Linked DNA regions of Mus musculus. The protein of the gene in region 4 purifies or fractionates together with the protein of the main gene of each other region. This does not show direct contact. Links are inferred from orthologs where the notes say so. Each region holds a gene or a part of one and is shown on either strand. Other genes may lie near its edges.

What was found.
Region 1: the proteins of Foxj1 (region 4) and Tbc1d32 purify together in Homo sapiens (affinity purification with mass spectrometry; 3 studies listed by BioGRID and IntAct, counting the BioPlex papers as one, with this or other methods). This does not show direct contact. The link is inferred for Mus musculus from reciprocal best matches to the Homo sapiens genes FOXJ1 and TBC1D32.
Region 2: the proteins of Foxj1 (region 4) and Cdk20 purify together in Homo sapiens (affinity purification with mass spectrometry; 3 studies listed by BioGRID and IntAct, counting the BioPlex papers as one, with this or other methods). This does not show direct contact. The link is inferred for Mus musculus from reciprocal best matches to the Homo sapiens genes FOXJ1 and CDK20.
Region 3: the proteins of Foxj1 (region 4) and Fbxo11 purify together in Homo sapiens (affinity purification with mass spectrometry; 3 studies listed by BioGRID and IntAct, counting the BioPlex papers as one, with this or other methods). This does not show direct contact. The link is inferred for Mus musculus from reciprocal best matches to the Homo sapiens genes FOXJ1 and FBXO11.
Region 5: the proteins of Foxj1 (region 4) and Rfx3 purify together in Homo sapiens (affinity purification with mass spectrometry; 3 studies listed by BioGRID and IntAct, counting the BioPlex papers as one, with this or other methods). This does not show direct contact. The link is inferred for Mus musculus from reciprocal best matches to the Homo sapiens genes FOXJ1 and RFX3.

What each region holds. Positions count from the first base shown.
Region 1 is NC_000076.6:56,194,178-56,197,691, reverse strand, and holds part of Tbc1d32 (protein broad-minded), read left to right. Parts: intron 1-825; coding exon 826-904; intron 905-1,030; coding exon 1,031-1,134; intron 1,135-1,222; coding exon 1,223-1,284; intron 1,285-2,191; coding exon 2,192-2,336; intron 2,337-3,514.
Region 2 is NC_000079.6:64,437,877-64,440,225, forward strand, and holds the end of Cdk20 (cyclin-dependent kinase 20), read left to right. Parts: coding exon 1-156; intron 157-904; coding exon 905-1,102; 3' UTR 1,103-1,845; downstream 1,846-2,349. UniProt on the Homo sapiens protein: Required for high-level Shh responses in the developing neural tube.
Region 3 is NC_000083.6:88,063,240-88,067,551, reverse strand, and holds the start of Fbxo11 (F-box only protein 11), read left to right. Parts: upstream 1-1,506; 5' UTR 1,507-2,299; coding exon 2,300-2,543; intron 2,544-2,619; exon of another isoform or gene 2,620-2,917; intron 2,918-3,010; exon of another isoform or gene 3,011-3,457; intron 3,458-4,312. UniProt on the Homo sapiens protein: Substrate recognition component of a SCF (SKP1-CUL1-F-box protein) E3 ubiquitin-protein ligase complex which mediates the ubiquitination and subsequent proteasomal degradation of target proteins, such as DTL/CDT2, BCL6, SNAI1 and PRDM1/BLIMP1.
Region 4 is NC_000077.6:116,332,553-116,336,538, forward strand, and holds the start of Foxj1 (forkhead box protein J1), read right to left. Parts: upstream 2,803-3,986; 5' UTR 2,666-2,802; intron 2,191-2,665; exon of another isoform or gene 2,157-2,190; 5' UTR 1,988-2,156; coding exon 1,490-1,987; intron 1-1,489. UniProt on the Homo sapiens protein: Transcription factor specifically required for the formation of motile cilia. Acts by activating transcription of genes that mediate assembly of motile cilia, such as CFAP157.
Region 5 is NC_000085.6:28,008,364-28,012,677, forward strand, and holds the start of Rfx3 (transcription factor RFX3), read right to left. Parts: upstream 2,804-4,314; 5' UTR 2,609-2,803; exon of another isoform or gene 1,349-2,608; coding exon of another isoform or gene 1,323-1,348; intron 1-1,322. UniProt on the Homo sapiens protein: Transcription factor required for ciliogenesis and islet cell differentiation during endocrine pancreas development. Essential for the differentiation of nodal monocilia and left-right asymmetry specification during embryogenesis.

The DNA.
Region 1 (3,514 bases), on a different chromosome or scaffold from region 4:
CTTATGTGTTACTGCAACTCCAAGCATGGGCTTCAAATACTGGGTGGTCTGTGTTCCGTGGGAATGTCTTAGCATTATTGGAAGATATCATTAGACATGTAGAGTCCAACTTCCTACGAAAATGTTAGCCTGGGAGTTAGAAACTAGATCATTTAATTTTATTTCTGTAGATTAAAACAATAGGAGGCAAGATTGTTTTTATTGAATGGAAACTTGTATTTCACCAGTAGAATTACGCTTCTCATGATATTTAAGTGATTATAAAGAAAGTGAAGTGACAGGTACCATTTTAATGCCTACTAGTGTCAACCATGTTTGAAACTACATTTAATTCTTGTTCAGTTTATTTTGTGATCAAATTTCAAAATATTATGTAGTATTTTTTTTTGTCTAGGGACTAGGCATAATTGCTAGAAAGACTCCTAAATACTCTAAAGAAACAATCCTGGCCTTGGAAATGTGAGGTCTCAAAATGTAGTGTTGCCTACTGTGCCACTGTTGGATGGCACCATTAAAGCCTCCAGCACCTCTGTGCAAGCCTGCAGCTTCATTTCACAGCACCACGTGACCCTTCCTCCCGCCACCATTCACTCCTACTTCCTGCTGTGACCAGATTTCACAGCAGTGCATTTTGTTGTTGGTTTTACCCTTAGTTGTGGATAATTTTACTTTTGGCTAAATGAAGACATGCCCTTTAGAATAGACACGGCCTTCCCCTGGTTTCTGCGTAGTGTATCTTGTGTTTATTTTCTGTTCCATGCGAGAAGTGTTTGGTCTGTGCTGCTGTAAGATCGCAAATGAGGATGGGCTGTTTTGCTTCCCTAGGACCGGATTTTAAAGTTCTACGCACAGACTTTTACCCTCTCACCGTTACATATGACCAAGGAGATTTATACAAGCTTAGGTATGTTCACCAAATGACTTCAATTGTTGTTCTCCTATATGCACTTAAAATCCCGTAAGAAATGACTTCTTCCAGAAGCATTGCGTAATATATATAACGACTGTATATTTTCCCTTTCCTTTTCAGCTAAATATCTGGAGGTATATTTTCTTTCTAGAGAAAATCACCTTCCTACTCTTTCAACTGGAGTAGACATAACCAGTCCCAATGTGACCCGCTTACTGAAAAAGGTATCCACTTACTATGATGTACTGTATGGAAAGTAGGGCTATATTTAAGAATTAAACTCTTTTGAGAGCTTTTGTATACTGCTTATAGGTTCGCCTTCTGAATGAGTACCAGAAAGAGGCTCCATCTTTTTGGATTCGTCACCCAGAGAAGTAAGTTCCCCAACTCCTGTGATGTAAGGTATAGGCTATGTCCTTCAATTATTTCAAGGACAGAAGGAACAGTAGTCTTGAGCGATGGACATGGTTCTATATGCCACTTAGTTTTTGTCAGCTTGACACCAAATAGGACCACCTAGGAAATAGACCCTCATCTGAGGAACTGCCCTCATCACTTGCCTATGTGTGTGTTTTTGTAACTGTAAATTGATATAGGGGGCCTCCCAGGGGCAATACCTTCTGTAGGCACATGGCCCTGGGCTGTATAAGAAAAGTAGCAAGCTTGAGGAGGCAAGACAGCAAGCAACGCCTCAATGGTTTTTGCCCCAAATTCCTGTCTTGAGCTCCTGGTCTGGCTTCCCTTAATGATGGAGTATAATTTGTAAACTAAAATGGACTTGTTTCTCTTCAAGTTGCTGTTTTACATGGTGTTAATCGTAGCACACTAGGATAGAAGGTTTTAGTGCAGTTTTTGTCAGTGTATTTGTATATTTGTGTAAATGGTTCTCCCCAAGTATGTTTTTATGTCACTTAAAACATTGTAGAAATGGGATGTTGAGGCCTTGGGCTCACCTGATGTTTGCTACTCTAAACAAGTTTCTTAAATGTTATCTTATTTTTCCATTCAGTTAAAAAAAAAGTTCTGACAAGGTTGTAAGAGCACCTGTGAGTCTAAAACTGAAAGTTAACATTTGGAGGCTAGAGTACTGGAGGAGAAAGAACAAGATTTTTAGCGCAGAAAGAGTGAGTGTGGCTCTTAGCCTCTACCATTTACAGAAAAAAAAAAAATCTCAAGGTTACATGTCACATTGTAATTTCATAAGGATAAGAATATCACTGATCTCACACACACTAAACCTTGTCAGTTTTTTTTTTTAAATCACTTCTTTCCCAAACTCAGGTATATGGAGGAAATTGTGGAGAGTACTCTGTCCTTGCTCTCAGTCAAACACGAGCAAAGCCACCTGGTGCCACAGAAGATTTTGGATCCCATCTATTTTTTCGCATTAGTTGATACTAAGGCTGTGTGGTTCAAAAAGTGGATGGTAAGGAAAAATGTTTTCTCTCTATCATTTGAGGGACTGGCCTGTGTTTCTGTGCTTGGTGTGTGCTGAGTTCTAATTGCTTTTCTGCATGTGTTAATGCCTTTAACCTGTACACGGACAGGTGTGATGGTAGATAGACATCAATCTCCCATTTAGAAGCTATTTTGCCCAGGATTTTTTGTCAAGTCAGGGTCAGGATAGTTTTTTGTTTTTGTTTTTGTTTTTTTTTTTTTATTTTTGCAGGGGGTGGGGTGTTTCGAGACAGGGTTTCTCTGTGTAGCCCTGGCCGTCCTGGAACTCACTCTGTAGACCAGGCTGGCCTTGAACTCAGAAATCCGCCTGCCTCTGCCTCCCGAGTGCTGGGATTAAAGGCGTGAGCCACCACGCCCGGCACCAGGATAGTCTTTTAAGTGGTGGTCTATTTGAATCTTCTTAAAAGGAATGATCTATTAAGGGTTCTAAAAGTCACGAATCAAAAAGCTTCAAAAATTTTAAATAGATGTTTTAAGACATGAACATTCAGGGCTCATCTCCCTTGGGTGTAGAGGATAATGCCTAGAATCAGTTTCTGTTTACTGCTTCCTGAACCTGGACTGGGGGATATGTTTAATGCCTGAAGTGGCAGTTTCCACTGAAGCTTATGACAGCCCAACACTGAAAGCCGTGTTTAAGCAGTCTTTCTACTGTCGCCCCTGTCAGCTGATGTGGAGTAACAGTCCCTCTCGGAGCAATAGCAGCAGCAAAATACAGACTTCTGTGCTGATGTCCTTGTCTTTCTCACTCCGTCTGCCAGGCTGTAGGTTCTTGTCTCAGTGGAGCAGAGAGAGGGTCAGGGACCTACCATGTGAGCGCTGACCCCCCTCTTGTAGTCCTCAGCAGGGCAGCTGGATGGCCGAACTGCCTTTGCCTTTTGATGTGGATATGGTATATGCCCCATTAATTAGAGCACAACTCTGTCTCTAGTGCTAAGCCCTTACGTTACCTATGTAGGAATGTCTGATGAATCTTTTAAATTCATTATTTTTACTTAAATCAATGTAATTGACTAGCCTGAATCTTTTGTAGCCCAGAAAGGATAATTTTTCTTAATTTTCACAAGGATGAAACTAGCTTTATTAGAGAGAATATGCAAAAAATGTAACAGCACATTAAAGAAAACTCTAAACAACACAGGGATA
Region 2 (2,349 bases), on a different chromosome or scaffold from region 4:
GAGATCACAGAGCTGCCTGACTACAACAAGATCTCCTTCAAGGAGCAGGCACCAGTGCCCCTGGAGGAGGTGCTGCCTGATGCCTCTCCCCAGGCCTTGGACCTGCTGGGCCAGTTCCTCCTCTACCCTCCACGACAGCGTATTGCAGCCTCCCAGGTAGGGTTAAAGGTTGACCCTTGACCCTGCCAAGCCAGAGACGCTTAGAACCCGCGTAGGGTGGAACCCTTGGAGGTGGGGTTTTGATGGAGTGTTCTCCAGGAGGCTTCGGGAGAGAAGTCAGTGACCCCTGCCCTCTGTCCAGCCCCTCCCCCTTGTCAGTGGGTCTTGCCTGCAGTTGCAGGTGTGAGTGTTGTCTCTTTCTCACCCTGACTGCTCTTGCTGTGTTCCTAGCCCTCCTGTGTTTGCTCCTCTCAAGCCCTAGGCTTTCCTTTGGGCTTGTGCTCCTGGGACCCAGCTCTTCAAAGCCTGCAGCATCTCTCTAGTCCTCCTCAGCCTTTCCACCCAGCTTTATTATATGGTTTGTCCTGGGAGACACGAACGAGTGTCTGTTCACTGCAGAAAGGACACTGATAACAAATCTGACCTGAGTCGGGCTTTAGTATTAGGTACTTCCTGGGACTTGTGTGTTTTCAAGGAGCCTCCTGCCCAGAGGGAATGTTTCAATTGGGAAGGAATAGCTAGCTACACCACAAGCTCTCTTTGTTGCCGGGGACATACTGTGCATTTTGCCCCTTTCTCTGGTTTATGTCTCCCACCCCTTCCTCTGTTGGCAAGAATTTTTGGCTCACTGAAATGTTCCCAGCTGTTGGGACAGTGCTCCAGACATAGGCACGTCGGCAAGGTTTGCTGAGTCAGTTGAATGATTTTGGGGATACATAATGACTGGATTTCTTGCTACCCCCAGGCCCTTCTGCATCAGTACTTCTTCACAGCGCCTCTGCCTGCCCATCCATCCGAGCTGCCAATTCCTCAGCGCCCAGGGGGACCTGCACCCAAGGCTCACCCAGGGCCCCCCCATGTCCACGACTTCCATGTGGATCGACCTCTTGAGGAGTCACTGTTGAACCCAGAACTGATTCGGCCCTTCATCCCAGAGGGGTGAGATGCTGGTCCAGGCCTTCCTGCTCGCCCTAGGAGCACCTCTTTCTGATTTGCCTCCATGGCCTCCCCACGGCTATATATACCACACCTGGTCCTGCTCCTTAGTGTGCTTGAGGGCTGGGCTCTGGGAGGCAGAACCGTGAGATGTTCATCCCAGCAGAGAAAGAGACTCACGTCCTACAGACAAAGCCTCCAGAAACTGCTAGCTGTGTCCTTCTCCAGGGCCACCCCTCAGTGGTGCCACCCGGCCTTAGAGATGATTGTCAGGCTCTGTCCCCTCTTCAAGGACATTGGTACTACAGCACCACCTGGTGGAAGCACAGAGTATAAGCTGTCTTCATACCGGGGACACAGCTGGGAAGTCAGACATGTTTTAGTTTTGGTTCCACTGGGTCAGGATTTGAGGTTCATATAAAAGCCCTGGGTGTTTCTGTCTAATTGCACCTTGTCTGTTGCTGTTAGGGAAAGGACAATGGTGGGCCTTGATTCACAGGGGTCAGGTACTCAGAAGAGGCCTCCTGTGAAGGCCATTTGGGTCCTCAGGCTTCCCATGCTATTCACGGGACTTGAGTGCTCATTTGGGAGCGAGAGTCCAGAAGCTGAGGCCCAGGGATGGACAGTCCAGTTCCCGAAGCACACTTCCCACATGTCGGGTGGGTCAGTCAGTGAGCCTGAGGCTGCCTTGCAGATGCGGAAGCAGACATTCCTGGAATCCACTCAGTAAATAAATTCCAGTGTGACTCAGCCAGCTTGTGTTTTATTTCATAGGGATATATTAAGATGAGTCTAAAACAGTGACTCTCTACCTCCCAATGCTGCAACCCTTTAGTTCTTCATGTTGTGGTGACCCCCTGCCCCAACCATAAAATTATTTTTGTCATACTGCATTAACTGTAATTTTGCTACTGTTATGAATTATAATGTAAATATCTCACATGTGATTCCCAAGGGGGTCAAGACCCACAGGATGAGAACCACTGGTCTAGATCCTGCGATGTCGAGGAGGGGGGAGCAGAGAGAAGATGATAAAAGGACTTGTGTGTTGGCCATTCAGATTTACTGCAGGGTTATATAACAACTAAGACAGGATATCGTTTCAGGGATGGATTAGATAGGATCTTAACTATCCATTATTCAGATACATAACAAAATCTGGTAGTGGTTGTGGTGTATGCCTGTAACCCCACTCAGGGGTCTGAGGTGGGAGGGTTCCTAAGAGTAGAAGGCCATGCTAGGCTACAGTGCAAG
Region 3 (4,312 bases), on a different chromosome or scaffold from region 4:
GAAAAGATTGTGAGTCTTTGAAAATCACATGACCAAAAAAGAAAAAAAAAAACCCAGCAATTGTACATCATATGATAGGTTATTATTTAAATGGCAGGAGATGTCTGACATCTAGAAGGGTGATTTGCCAACAGTGGTGGCGAATGCCTTTAATCCCAGCACGTGGGAGGCAGAGGCAGGCGGATTTCTGAGTTAGAGGCCAGCCTGATCTACAGAATGAGTTCCAGGACAGCCAGGACTACACAGAGAAATTCTGTCTCAAAAAACCAAGAAAGAAAAAAGAAAAAAAAAAAGAAAAAGAAAAAAAGAAAAAAAGAAAAAAATCTGTAATTTACACATAGCACAATACCGTAGACTTACCTCTCCTGTGCGTCCCTTAGAATTCACTTTTCTCCCTCCCTTTCTGAAGCTTTGTAATGTTTTATCTATCTTAAGCCTAGAAAGCAATCAATGAAATTCAAGTAGAAAATCACTGACAGCTCCGAAATGAGGGAATCCAGAGATAAACCACTAGCTATGCAATAAGGAATAGTGAGCGGAGTACATTTTCAGTCTTCATAACGGCGGCCAGGGAATAGAAACACATTTTCCTTGGGGAGAGATTGTGCTAAGGGGACCAGACACAGATACAAAAGATTATTCCTCTCGGGGGTTTATCTTTCTTGACTTCGTGGGACCTAAAACAAAACCAATATAATCCATCACAACCTCCACCCGTTTTATTTTACTTCTTCCGGAACACCATGTAGACCACTTGCCCCCCCCCCCCCCCCAAAAAAAAAGCCTAAAGCAAACTAACTTGGTTAAAGATCTAAAACATTCTGAAAGTTTGGGCGACAAAAGCTGGAACCGACTCCAGACTCTCTCTTAAGTTCTCAGCAGAGCCGAAACAAGATTTCTTAAGGTTTGCAAATAAATCCCTTCAGCTGGACTAAAAACGCACAGAGCCTGGAGCGCTCCCTACAGCTGAGAGCTTGAACCTACCGAGCCCAGAAATCCGGAGTTACCCAAGACGGAGTCCCTCACTCCTTGTGGCGTTTAAGAGAACCAGGTGAAGGTTGGGGTGGAGGGAGGCTGAACCGGCAAAAGGCAGGATTAATCACTTCTCCCAATTGCATCAGCAGCCCCCGCCCTTCCTTCAGAGCACCTCCTATCCTAGAACCTTCGCTACGTACTGCCGCTCCTTCGCCCACCCCCGGCTCCATTATATGCCCTGATACCTCCCCATTATCACCCGCCCTGCCACACTCCCCCCTTTCCTCTTTCCTCCTCCTCCTCCTCCGTCGGGGAAGGAGGAAACCCGAGAGAGGAAACAGGGTGTTGGAGGAAGGGGGCTCCGCGATAAGAGAGGAGGCTCCATTGGCTCCGACACCGTACGGGCGCTTCCCATTGGTCAGGCCCCGCCGGAATCCACGCCCCCTCTGTCCCCGCCCCCGCCCCTCCCCCGCCGGCTCGCGGCCCTCCCCCCGCGCCCCCCGGCCAGCCCCGCGGCGGGGAGGGACCGACAGGGCTTGAGCGGAGAGGCTCCGGCGGTGTCAATGGCTCCTCCTGCCACGGAGCAGCAGCAGCAGCAGCAGCGGCAGCAGCAGCAGCGGCAGCGGCGGCGGCGGCGCTGGGGCTGAGGAGGGAAGGTTCCTTTAAGGAGGAGGAACGACGACGCCTCTTTTGCCCCTATCTCCTCCCTTTTACACTCATTTCCCCTTCGCCGAGGGTGGGGGTGGGGGGGGCGGAGGAGAGAGAAGAGGCCGAAGAAAGAGAAAATTCCTCGCAGGGCGCTCTTTCAGGGGGTGTGGGGGGAGGACGAGGAACGGAGGAGCCGGGCGCCCCCCGCGCGCTCCCGCCCCGCTCGGCTCGCCCTCTCCGAGATCGCCCGTCCGCCCACTCCCCCCGCCGCCGCCGCTGCCGGAGACGCCGCTCGGGAGTCGGCGGGCCCGGCTCGTCTGCTCGGCCGCCGCCGCGCTTCGCCTCGGGCTCCCCAGGCGGACGGACGCCCTTTCTTTCTTTCTCTTGCCCGGCCCGTCTCTCTGTCTGCGTCCCTCGCGGCCGCCCCGCCCGGCGGCCTCGGCCTTGCCCGTGCGCCAGGCCCGGCCGGCGGGCCTCGCTCAAGCTCCGGTGGTGCCCCCAGCCTCCCCGCGGAGCCGGGGGAAGCTCACGCCCGGTGGCCCCCCGGTCCCCGCGTCCCCGGCCGCCCCGCTCCTTCCCGCTCCCCACCCCCTTCCTCCCCGGCCCCGGAGCTCGCGGTGCGTGTGCGCGTGAGTGTGTGTGTCCCTCCGCCAACGCCGCCACCTCAGCCCGGCAAATGAACTCCGTCCGAGCCGCCAACCGGAGACCCAGGCGAGTGTCGCGGCCGCGCCCGGTGCAACAGCAGCAGCAGCAGCCCCCGCAGCAGCCGCCGCCGCAGCCGCCTCAGCAACAGCCGCCGCCGCAGCCGCCCCAGCAGCCGCCGCAGCAGCAGCCCCCGCCGCCGCCGCAGCAGCAGCCCCCGCCGCCGCCCCCGCCGCCTCCGCCGCCGCCTCAGGATCGGAACAACGCCGGCGAGAGGGGTAAGGCCGCGCTCGGGGCCTGGCTGGGCGGGCGGGAGGCCGGGCGGGGGCGGCGGCGGCGGCGGCGGCGCGCCCGGGGTGGGAGACGGAGGCCGAGCGGAGGCGGGTCCCACCGTGCCGCAGTGTTCGCCTGGGCCCGGCCCGGCCGGGCCTGGCCGGCAGGAAAAGCCGCGGCTGCGCGATCCGCCCGGGCTGCGGCTCAGGCCGCGCTTTGTTTGGTTTCGGGGCTGGCACCCTCCGTCCCCACCCCTCCTTGGGGCTTCCCGGCTGGCTCGCCCACCCCACGGGAGTCTGTTCGCGGCCGGGGGCGGGCAGGAGGGTGGGATTTCCCCCCTTTCTGCGCCTGGCTCGATCTGGGCTCCCCCTTTCTCGTGGTAGGTGGGGGGACGGCTGGCTGCGTGGGGCGGTGAGGCTGGCCGGGGAACTTGTTTTCCCCTTCTCTGTGGGCTCCCCCTTGCCCTGGAGGAGGGGGAGAGGAGCGCCGGAGTGGTCCGCCGCGCTGGCTGGGGAACTTGCGTGCCCCCTTCCAGGTCGCAGGGCAGGGGGAGCCTCGGCCCCTCTCTCGACCACAACATCTTTGCTGCACAGTTTGCCTTTAGTTACAGAACCCCGGGGAAGAACCCGTTAAATCAATACCTTTAAATAAATAAATATAGAAGCTATCGGCCATTTCCAGCCCCCTCCCTCGTGTGCAGTGCAGTTACCCTTCCGCTGTGTCGTCCCCCTTTCCTCTCCAACCCACTACGCCACGGTGCTCCCCTCGGTCTCCGGGTGGGTTTGAGCACCCTCGCCGTAGAACGGGCCCCTTGGGATCGTGTGTGTAGCTGTATGTAGACGAGCGCGCGCCCGCGCGCGTGTTGTGACCAAGGCCTAGTGAAATGTGTCATTTGGACCCAACTGTGCTGCGCTGTCTGGTAACCACCATTGTCTAAGGGCTGAGGCTCCCTGGGGTTGGATTCTTGCTTTAGCAAAAATAATGTTCGGTTTTGCTTGAATGATGTGGTTACGTGGAGAGAGGTTTGTGAGATGAGAGTGTTGCACCTTGATCTCCAAACATAACTAGTCTCTTTATTAATGAGCTGCTTGCAGCGGGGTGTAAGTCAGCACGGTATTTTGTGTATGGTTGTTTTAAAGAGGAGAATTGTTAGGAGACATTTTGCGTGTTTTGGTTGGCGGATTAAGGGTAATTTTTACATGCGTTGGTTGTCACACCTCCTTTGATTGAGACTCCGTTTAAATATAATTTTAAAAATTGTACATTCTTTAACTGCTTCATTGTATTTGATCAAAATATTTATCAGATGAAGGAAATTGCTAGAAAAACAGTTTAAAAGGTTTGCCTTAGTCACTGTTACAATAGTCTTTGAGAAAGCAGCTGGCTGTATGTTATTTGAGAGATGTTTCAAACCGGCTAGGAGTCTTTTGCAACATGGTTGGTAAAACTGTTTTAATGATTCTTTGGTACATTCACTAATTTTTGACAAATTAAAAAAATTGTCTCATGTTACCTTTCACTTCCACGGACCGGAGTTGTCCGATGTTCCGTTCAGATTACCAGGTCTTGTAGAATTGACATGAGGGAAAAGAAGCACCCTTGAAATGTTACTGACGTGGTCTCAGAGTAAGCCTTGTAAAGATGCTCTGATCTACTAGAAGCACATCACCCAAAGTGTCAGCCAAACTCGATTAACTCCCATCGTGTATTTCTAAATGTTTAGTCTGCATTCCTGTTTCATCACTTGCTATAATTCCCACTCTACTTGAGATAG
Region 4 (3,986 bases):
GCATCCTCCCAGATGGGGGAGGGGCGGATCCGATGCCCTGACCAGGCAGCTGTAGCTCGGGGACTCTGGGACACCAGCCACAGGGTATGAGGAGCCCGGAGTGCATGGGGGGGGGGGGGGGCTTTTGTTCTCTGTTGCTGGGATATCTGCCTGCTCAGTCATCCGAGCTCTGAGCCACAGGGTGGCTCTCAGTGCCACCCTCTGTCATCCTCCCTCCCTCCCTTACCCTGTTGCTTGCAGGTCCTGGCCAAAGCCCTCAGCTCCCCCACGGCCTGGACTGCCATCTCCCTCTGTTTGTGAAGTGGGTGGGTTAAGGGAGGGGGCTGGGTGACCAAGGACTGTGTGTTTGTGTGTGTGTGTGTGTGTGTGTTGGGAGATTTAGTGACTCCTTGTTTGTTGAGCCAGCTGCTGGCCTAGACCTTCACCCCCTACAATCTCCTCTTCCCACCCAAACCACCTCAGTTGATTATTACCCAGCCAAGCGCATAAGGCTCTTTTCTGGGACCTGAGTTGGCAAAGGCATTGAATAAGGAGAAGATTGGGGAATCTTTTGACCCAGGGTTAGAGCCATTTGGAATGGGTTAGGACTATGATCGTGCCCTCTTGCTCCTTGGCTGCCTTAGGGAAGAGTGGGCAACCTCAGGCCTCGTCTCTAGAACATGGATCTTGATACTGGAGGATGTTCACAGTGCTGTCTCTGTCTACTGAGCCTTATCTTGCCCTCTCCACACGCAGCAGCTTAGTTCTGCTCACACCACACTGGTGTCCAGGGGCCCAGGCTATGCTAGCAAGGCAGGTGGGCAGTGAGTGGGCACCCTTTGGCCAGCAGGGCTGAGATGTTTACACGGCAGCCTGGCCCATTGGCTGCTCTGTGCCAGGTTCTGGAGATTTAGAACCCGAAGCCACTGCAGCAGAAGTGCCCCTGTGGAAAGCACCTGGCTCAGGTAATTGCCCCCCTAGGGAGGCTGGCTGAGAGGGTGGGGGTGGGGGCAGGAAACTGGGGAGGAGCTGAGGTGGGAGGCTGGTCAGTGGCTTCAGGATGACTTCCTGACCCCTCCACCTGGACAACTGATCTTTGTACCCAGAGGGGCTCATCTCTGCCCTACTCTCTAGACGCAGGGTGCAGAAGTTGGCAGGGAGGTCACCTAGGTTCCATTTCAGAGTCCAGTTCTGACTAATTCCTCGGGCAGATCATTGTCTAGGAATTTTCGGACACGGGACAAGAATGTGCCTTAGTGTTACATCCCACATGAGGCTACACCGGGCCCTATTGGTCCCTCTTCTACAACTTCGTCTGTACCTCCAGGGCCTTGGCTCCAGACAAGGGAGCAGTTTCAGAACCTGGCAGAGTGGTCAGGCCTCTCATGAGGCCTGACCTCACAGCCAGGTGTCTCCTTGGCCTTGCAGATCTGGTATGCGAGCCTGGCTAAGTGCCAGAAGGAGGTCGTGAGGAGGGAGTGGCCACCACCCGCACCTCTCCTCCCCCTACCTGCCAGGTGGGGTCTGCATGGCGGAAGTAGCAGAAGTTGTCCGTGATCCACTTGTAGATGGCCGACAGAGTGATCTTGGTGGCCTTGCTGGCTTGCATGGCCATGCAGATGAGAGTGGCATAGGAGTAGGGTGGCTTCACGTGTGGGTTGGTGGCATAGTCCACGTCGTCAGGGGGCGGGGCCTGCAGCCCCGGGGGCGCGCTTCGAGATGTGCACGACGATGTGGGCTTGCCGGGTGTGTGCGGCTGCCCAAGGCAGGCAGGGTCTGCCGCCAGCGGTGACCCGGGCGCCACCAAGCCCGGCACTTGGTGGTAGCCGTGGGGGTCTGTGCCTCCTGGGGGAAGAGTGGGAGCCTTGGCGTTGAGAATGGAGAATTCCTGCAGCCATTGCAGGCTGGTCAGGCTGTCATCCAGGGCGTCCGGCTCCTCCATGCCGCCCTCCGGCCCGGCTTCCTCTCCGGGACCCGCTCCGCAGAGGCGCAGCCAGCTCTCCGCCATGTCTGCGGGGACTCTCCGAAGGGGCGGTCAACATCCACAGGCTGAGCCGGAGTGGCCCGCCGCGCTCTCTGGCCCGCTGGTAACCCAGACTCCAGTTACACAGTCTCCAGAACACTCACTTCCATTCTGCGACCCAGGGGGTCGCCTCCTCCGAACACGAATGTGAGGCCTGCGGGAGCACCACGGAACTGAACACTCTTCCCCTACCCCGAGAGGAAAGAGGCGCCTTAGGGGGGGAGCCCCTCACATTCATCCCCGCAGCCTGTGGCGAGGTCAGGGAAACACAGGACCCTGGTCTGATCCTGCGTCTCCACCTCTCTCCATCTGCCCTTGAAGGGTTTGTTGGCCACAATGAGGGAAGAGGGTAGGAAGGCCCAAACTAACTCTTTTCCCCAAAGAGTGGGAAACTAAGATCACATCCCAATAGTCCAGGGGGGTCAGTACGACGCGGCTGGGGCAAAGTAGGTCATCTGATCCTTGAAAAGAGGTGTTAGGATGAAGGGTCTCGGGAAAGGAAGGTCACAGGACCGAGTTATGGAGGAGCAGGAAGCGATCTCCCGAACTCCTCAGATTTCATTTTCGTGGCCCCACTACTTCTGTGGGCGACCGATGGACTGGATAGCCAGCAGGTCCCGACGCCCTCCCATCCCGTGGTCCACAGCCCTCCCAGTCCCTTACCTGGCTCAGAGCGCAGCCAGCCAGAGGAAGGTTCTGGAAGAAGTTCCTCCCACCTCCCGCGGTTCTCTGTCCCCAGCTCGAGGGCTGTGCTGGCGCCCCTCTTCGCGCCCCCCCCCCTCGCCCGACGGCGCTTCTCTGAGCGCCGACGGCCCGGGGACCGGCATTAAGTAGACGCTCGGAAGGCTTCTTCTGCTGCCATGGCGACGCCCCGCCCCCATAAACAGCTTCCGCTGCTGTCATTGGCCAGTACGTCTCCAAGGAGACCGCGGGCCCTTGCAGCTCCTCTGGCGGCAACTCTCTGGAACTCTCTGGTTCTGCCGCCCTCTCCCGCGCCACCCAGCCCCCTACCCGCCACCGAGATCCGACTCTGTGCATTCCCGCCCGAGGGCCCCGCGCTGGGTCTCACGGCGGGTGCTCGGCTCCCGCTCGAGGCCCCGGGAACCCCTCCCCCAACGCGTCGGGTTTGACCGCTGAGGGGACCCAGCCCCGGATTCTGCAGACCAAGTCTCGGGGAACCGTGCCCTTGAAGTCTTTGCCCTCACCGGGCTGCCAGTGGCCTTTGTCTGGTTTCTGGGGCCTTTCCCTGGTCCCCGAGTGTCTTCTCTGGTGCCCACAGGCAAGTTTGACTCTCTGATGCCACCTGTCGCTTATAATCCGCAGAAACGGCCACACAGCTCGCAGACACACCGAGGCGGGTAGGGTAACCCAGCGTCTCCCGGTAAGCAGCTCGCCCACTCACCCTGCTCAAGTTCCCGGAAGCTGGCATTCCAGGGGCATCTGCGGAGGTGCTGCCCTTTCAGACAGTCTAGGAAGCAGAGCCAGCCGGCAAAAAACAGAAAAGCCCTGGGCCTGCAAGATTCTCAAAGAGGTCATTTGTTCTACTGATTTAGCCAGGAACTGGTTAAGTGATGGGAACTACTAAGCATAAGGGATTCTGGGCCCTAGCTTTCCCTATTGCCATCAGCTTTGGGGTTCTTTAATAATTGACGAGCTGCAGGATTGGAAGTGATCGGGTTTAAGGCAGATGCAGAAGCAGGTAGGGCAGTCAGGAATGGAGCTGGCCTTGTACCCAGGTCTGCAGAAATACTAAAAAGAGCCTGAGCCACTGACTGAAACGAATACGTTCACAAACGAATTCACGTTGTAATTAATGGCTCCCTTGCCCCTGTAAACAGTTTTATTCACTTTTAAGAATCATGCAGCAATCCATAAATATTGCATCTTGATGTCCCCACTGTAATGTGCCTATAAGTGTACTCCATGAATGTGAGGGGTACACAGATGGCACATACAGAGCACACGCACGCACACACACACATAC
Region 5 (4,314 bases), on a different chromosome or scaffold from region 4:
AACATTATTTCACATGTTTAATTTCAAAGCATGATTATGTTCACAGATTTCTGTTAGTCTAAAACACTGAAAACAAAGAATGTCAATGCATAGTACAGTCCCTCCTAGGAAAAATAGCACAGAAAAAAAAAGTCGAACTAAATGGTACTTAAATTTGTATTTAATTTTAAAGATAAATTGTTATAACTCTAAGTTAATCAATCCACTAAACTATTTTATTTTAAAGCATCTCTAATATCAACTCTTAAAACACAAAGATTTGCTTTAAATGGACAGGCTACTTAACATAATGCAATGCCACATTTGCTCTCAAATTAACTTGTGAATGGAAAAAACTAAATTAAACACATGCTTGATGAGTGAAATGACTCTTAAACACTCTTGGACACGACAAATAAAATATTAATCTAAGACATTTTAATATATACAATCTACTCAGCTGAAACATATGTGAATGCCATTAAGATCTAAAACTGTCCCAAGACAGCAAAACTCCTTTTAACTTCAGACCCAGGAGCTTTACCATCGAAAAGTGTTCAGGCGTTTGACACTCATCTGAACAAAAAAGAGGAAAAGAAGAAAAAGAAAAGAAAGATGAAAAGAAAAAAGAAAATGAGAAGAAAAGAAAAAATAAAAGTTAGTATTTGAAAATTGCAAAGACAGGTTGGGAATGGATGAATAAATATAAAGAATGCTGAGAGATCCAAACAGACTTCTTTCAGAATCAAATCTCAGCTTCATTTAAAATAACAATCACACGAAAATGAATTGAAAAGTAAGGTTTTTCCCAATCCCCCAACTCTTACTTGTTTTACAAAATATTAGCCTTAATGGCATTATAATTACCCAACCTCTCCATTGACAATCTCAAGAATAATTAATACTGTCACATTATTCACAGGCTGCTCTGTCAGTTAAATCAATAAATGTTTGCTGTTGGAAAGATTATTTAAATAAGCACTTTAAAATATGAATTGGAAATTTCAATGTGCCACTATAATAGTACAATCTATTTGTTTTAGCTCACAATCATCATCAATTTTTTTCTGATAACCTATTAATTGTTATGCTGAAAATGAGCAAATTAAGGATCTGCAAAGCCAGGTTCTAATCAAGACGATACTACTTCATAACTGGTAAGTATTCAGATCTACAAGGGCAACTATTTCCTCTAAAGAAACACTTTAAAAGGAAGTTTTTTTTTTCTTCTGAACAGGTTTAAATCATTGTCCAAAGAAAACCAAAAAGTCAACAAAAAAGAATATGTTAAGTACACACATGCCTAGATCTTAACAGCCACAAAGAAAGTGAAATATACACACGTTTCAAGTTGAGAAGCTTCATACATTCTTTATGAACAACTTGACTTCAATTTCAACTCTCCAAGGGAAAGGAATAGAGATGAAGATGGGAGAAGGAAAAAAAAAAAAAAAAAAACTCTCAAAGTACCATAACTGTCACAAATAGCGTTGTGAACTGAGTTCTCACAAAGCTTCCTTATATCCTTTTCCTGTTCATCACAGACAAAGTCTAAACCACAATGAAAATTGTTAACACTCTCCTGTGGGGAGGGAGGTGCATCAAAGTGAAACAGAACCTCAGGACTACCCCTCCCATCTCCACATGAAGGATAAAGCGCTGTCAGTAGCCACTAACCAAAGTAGCACAGATGCCCTGCATCCGGTTTAAATCACAAGCACACACACACACACACACACACACACACACAAACCCGAAAAGGGGAGGGGGGAGAGAGAGAGAGGAGAGGGAGAGGAGACAGAGGAGAGACAAGAGAGGAAAGAGGAGAGAAGAGAAACAGAGAAACAGACTTAAAAAAAAAATCTCTCAAGAGCAGCAGAGGCCCCCTAGTTTCAATGTGTGTGCAAATGGGGGGAAGGGGGGAGAAGACTGCTGAATGGATATTAAGACTGTTTGCAGCACAAAGAAAAATACAGTTTTAAAAGAAAAAAAAAAAAAAAGAATCCCGTGAGGCCAGTGATGGTCAAATAAGTGCAGTCCGTTCAGCAGCAGGCACAGAGGGGCCGAAACGAAGGGAGCGGGCTTCGGGAAAAGTTCACCGAGGTACCAGGATAAAAATAACAAAACCCCCAACAAGGCCCCGCAAGTGAACAACAACCACCACAGCGCAGCACCTTTTGGGGACCCCCCCTGCTCACTGCTGTCTATTTCGATTTGGAAAGCAGCAGCCACCAGGCAGCTTTGCAAAGCAGCGAATTAAAGAAAGAGAGAGGGAGAAAGCGAGCCCCTTCTCTCCACCTGCCCCTCCTCCTGGGCGCCCGCGGACCTGGGGGGGACGCTCCAACACCCGCGACGGACAGCGGCGGCTTCCTAGCCCGCTCGCCCCGCAGCCCCGGCTCCCGCTCCATCCCCGAGCGCCGAGGCCGGGCGGGCAGGCGCGCGGCGCCCACACCCCCGAGCCCGCCGCGCGCGGGTCCATTGTAAACAAGCCCCCGGGACCGAGCCCCTCAAGCGGCCGCAGCCGGTGTCAGGAGGGAGACCCCGCACAGCCACGCTCGCTCGCACACACGAACACACGCACGGACACACACGCTCCCACACACATGTAGAGAGACCGAAGAATATTCACCTTGGCTGTGGATTATTGTGGTGTTGTTGGTGGGTGATGGAGATGGTGGTGGTGGGGAGGAGGAGGAGGAGGAAGAGGAGGAGGAGGAGGAGAGGAGTAGTTGTTGTTGATGGGTAACAGTCGCCAGGACTACGGTGACTATGGCGCTTGATTCACAAGGCAACGGTTGCTATAACTCACAAAAGAGAGAGAGAGGGAGAGAGAGAGGGAGCGAGGGAGAGGGAGACACTCGCGCGGGGAGGGGCGGGGGGGAGGGAGGAGGGGAGAGGGCGGGCCCGAGAGCGCCGGAAGAAGCGGCTTCGGCGCCGTGACTGACAGCTCGGAGCCCGGGCGGGGGGCTGCGGTCGGGATTCCGACGTCGGTTTTTCCCCCGAGGTGCGCTTTAAGACTTGGCGGGCCCGGGGTCAGGGCGAGTCTGCCTGGAGGAACGGGACGGAGGACGCCGGGGAAAGCTGAGGGTCTGGAGGCGAGGGCTACTTTCCGTCAAAGGAGCCCCGCCTGCCTCTGCCGCCAGCTCTGTGCCCAGCCGCCCCGCAGCCGCGAGAGGAAAAGCGCGAAGCCAGGGGAGGGGGAGTGACGACGGAGCCAACACTGTGTGAGACGCGCGCTACCGCGGAGGCAGACCCCACTTTGAAGAGCGGGCTCCACCCCGGGGCGTACGTCATTTCCTGGGCGGCCCCAGCTAATATCCCGGATGTGCTGCGCTCCTCCCCTCTCTCTCCTCTCTTCCCCCCGCCCCGCTCAGGTTTTTTTTTTTTTTTTTTTTTTTTCTCCCCTCCCTCTCCGTGGTCGCCAGTGTGGTGTTTCCCGGTCGGTCGTTTATGCCTCGCGGGTGATCCCTTTCCCAGACTCTCTGCGGCCGGCGCGGGCCTCCAGGGTCTCGGCTTTGCCCTCCCCTCCATCGAATTCCGCTTTCTCGCGCCTCCCGAGGCCGCGGGGTCCTGAGGAGCGCGGGCGGCGGGGTGTGAGCGGTGCTCCCGCCGCCATCTTAGGGAGCGAGAGCCTGGGCGCGCGAACGGTGACCCATCTCGCTCGGCGCGGCCGCTACCTCCCTGCGGAACCGAGACGCCAAGTTAGCACCCTGCAGGACCGGGAGGAAGTGCCAAGGGGAAGGGAATTCGAGCTTTCCGAGGATGAGGGTCCCTACAGGGGTGGGTTAGACCTTTCAGAGTAGCCCTCGGTAGGTCCTTAAGGGGCTCTACCCTTTCAGAGTTGACGGGATGGATCCCAGCTAGACCAATCGCCCTATTAGCTGGCATCGGTTTCTTAACAGCCTGGGGGTAGCTTGTTCTTGAGCTGTGTTGGACACGGGAACGGCTTCTGTCCATGGAGAACATTATTAGCACACAACCTGGCACCTCAAACTCGAGTTGATAAGGCACAGCTTCTGAAACCTCATGGTTCAAGCATATTCGTCCAATTCTCCTCATACTGGAGTCCAGCAGGCACGTGCCCCCAGGCCCGCCAATACCCAAAATCTCCCAACATTTGCAGCTAAGCAGCTTATCCAAGACAATAACATACTGGAAGTAGAGCCTTAAGAAGTCAGTTCTCCTCTTGAGGCTTAATTTTTGCACCGGCACATGAGGGATTTGGGCCAGCATGAGTTCCCTGTTAAAATAAGGCTGAGCTCTCTTTCTGTGCCCCAGACCTTGTGCTAAGTGTTTTACATACATTATCTCATTTAATCCTGACACCTGTTCTAT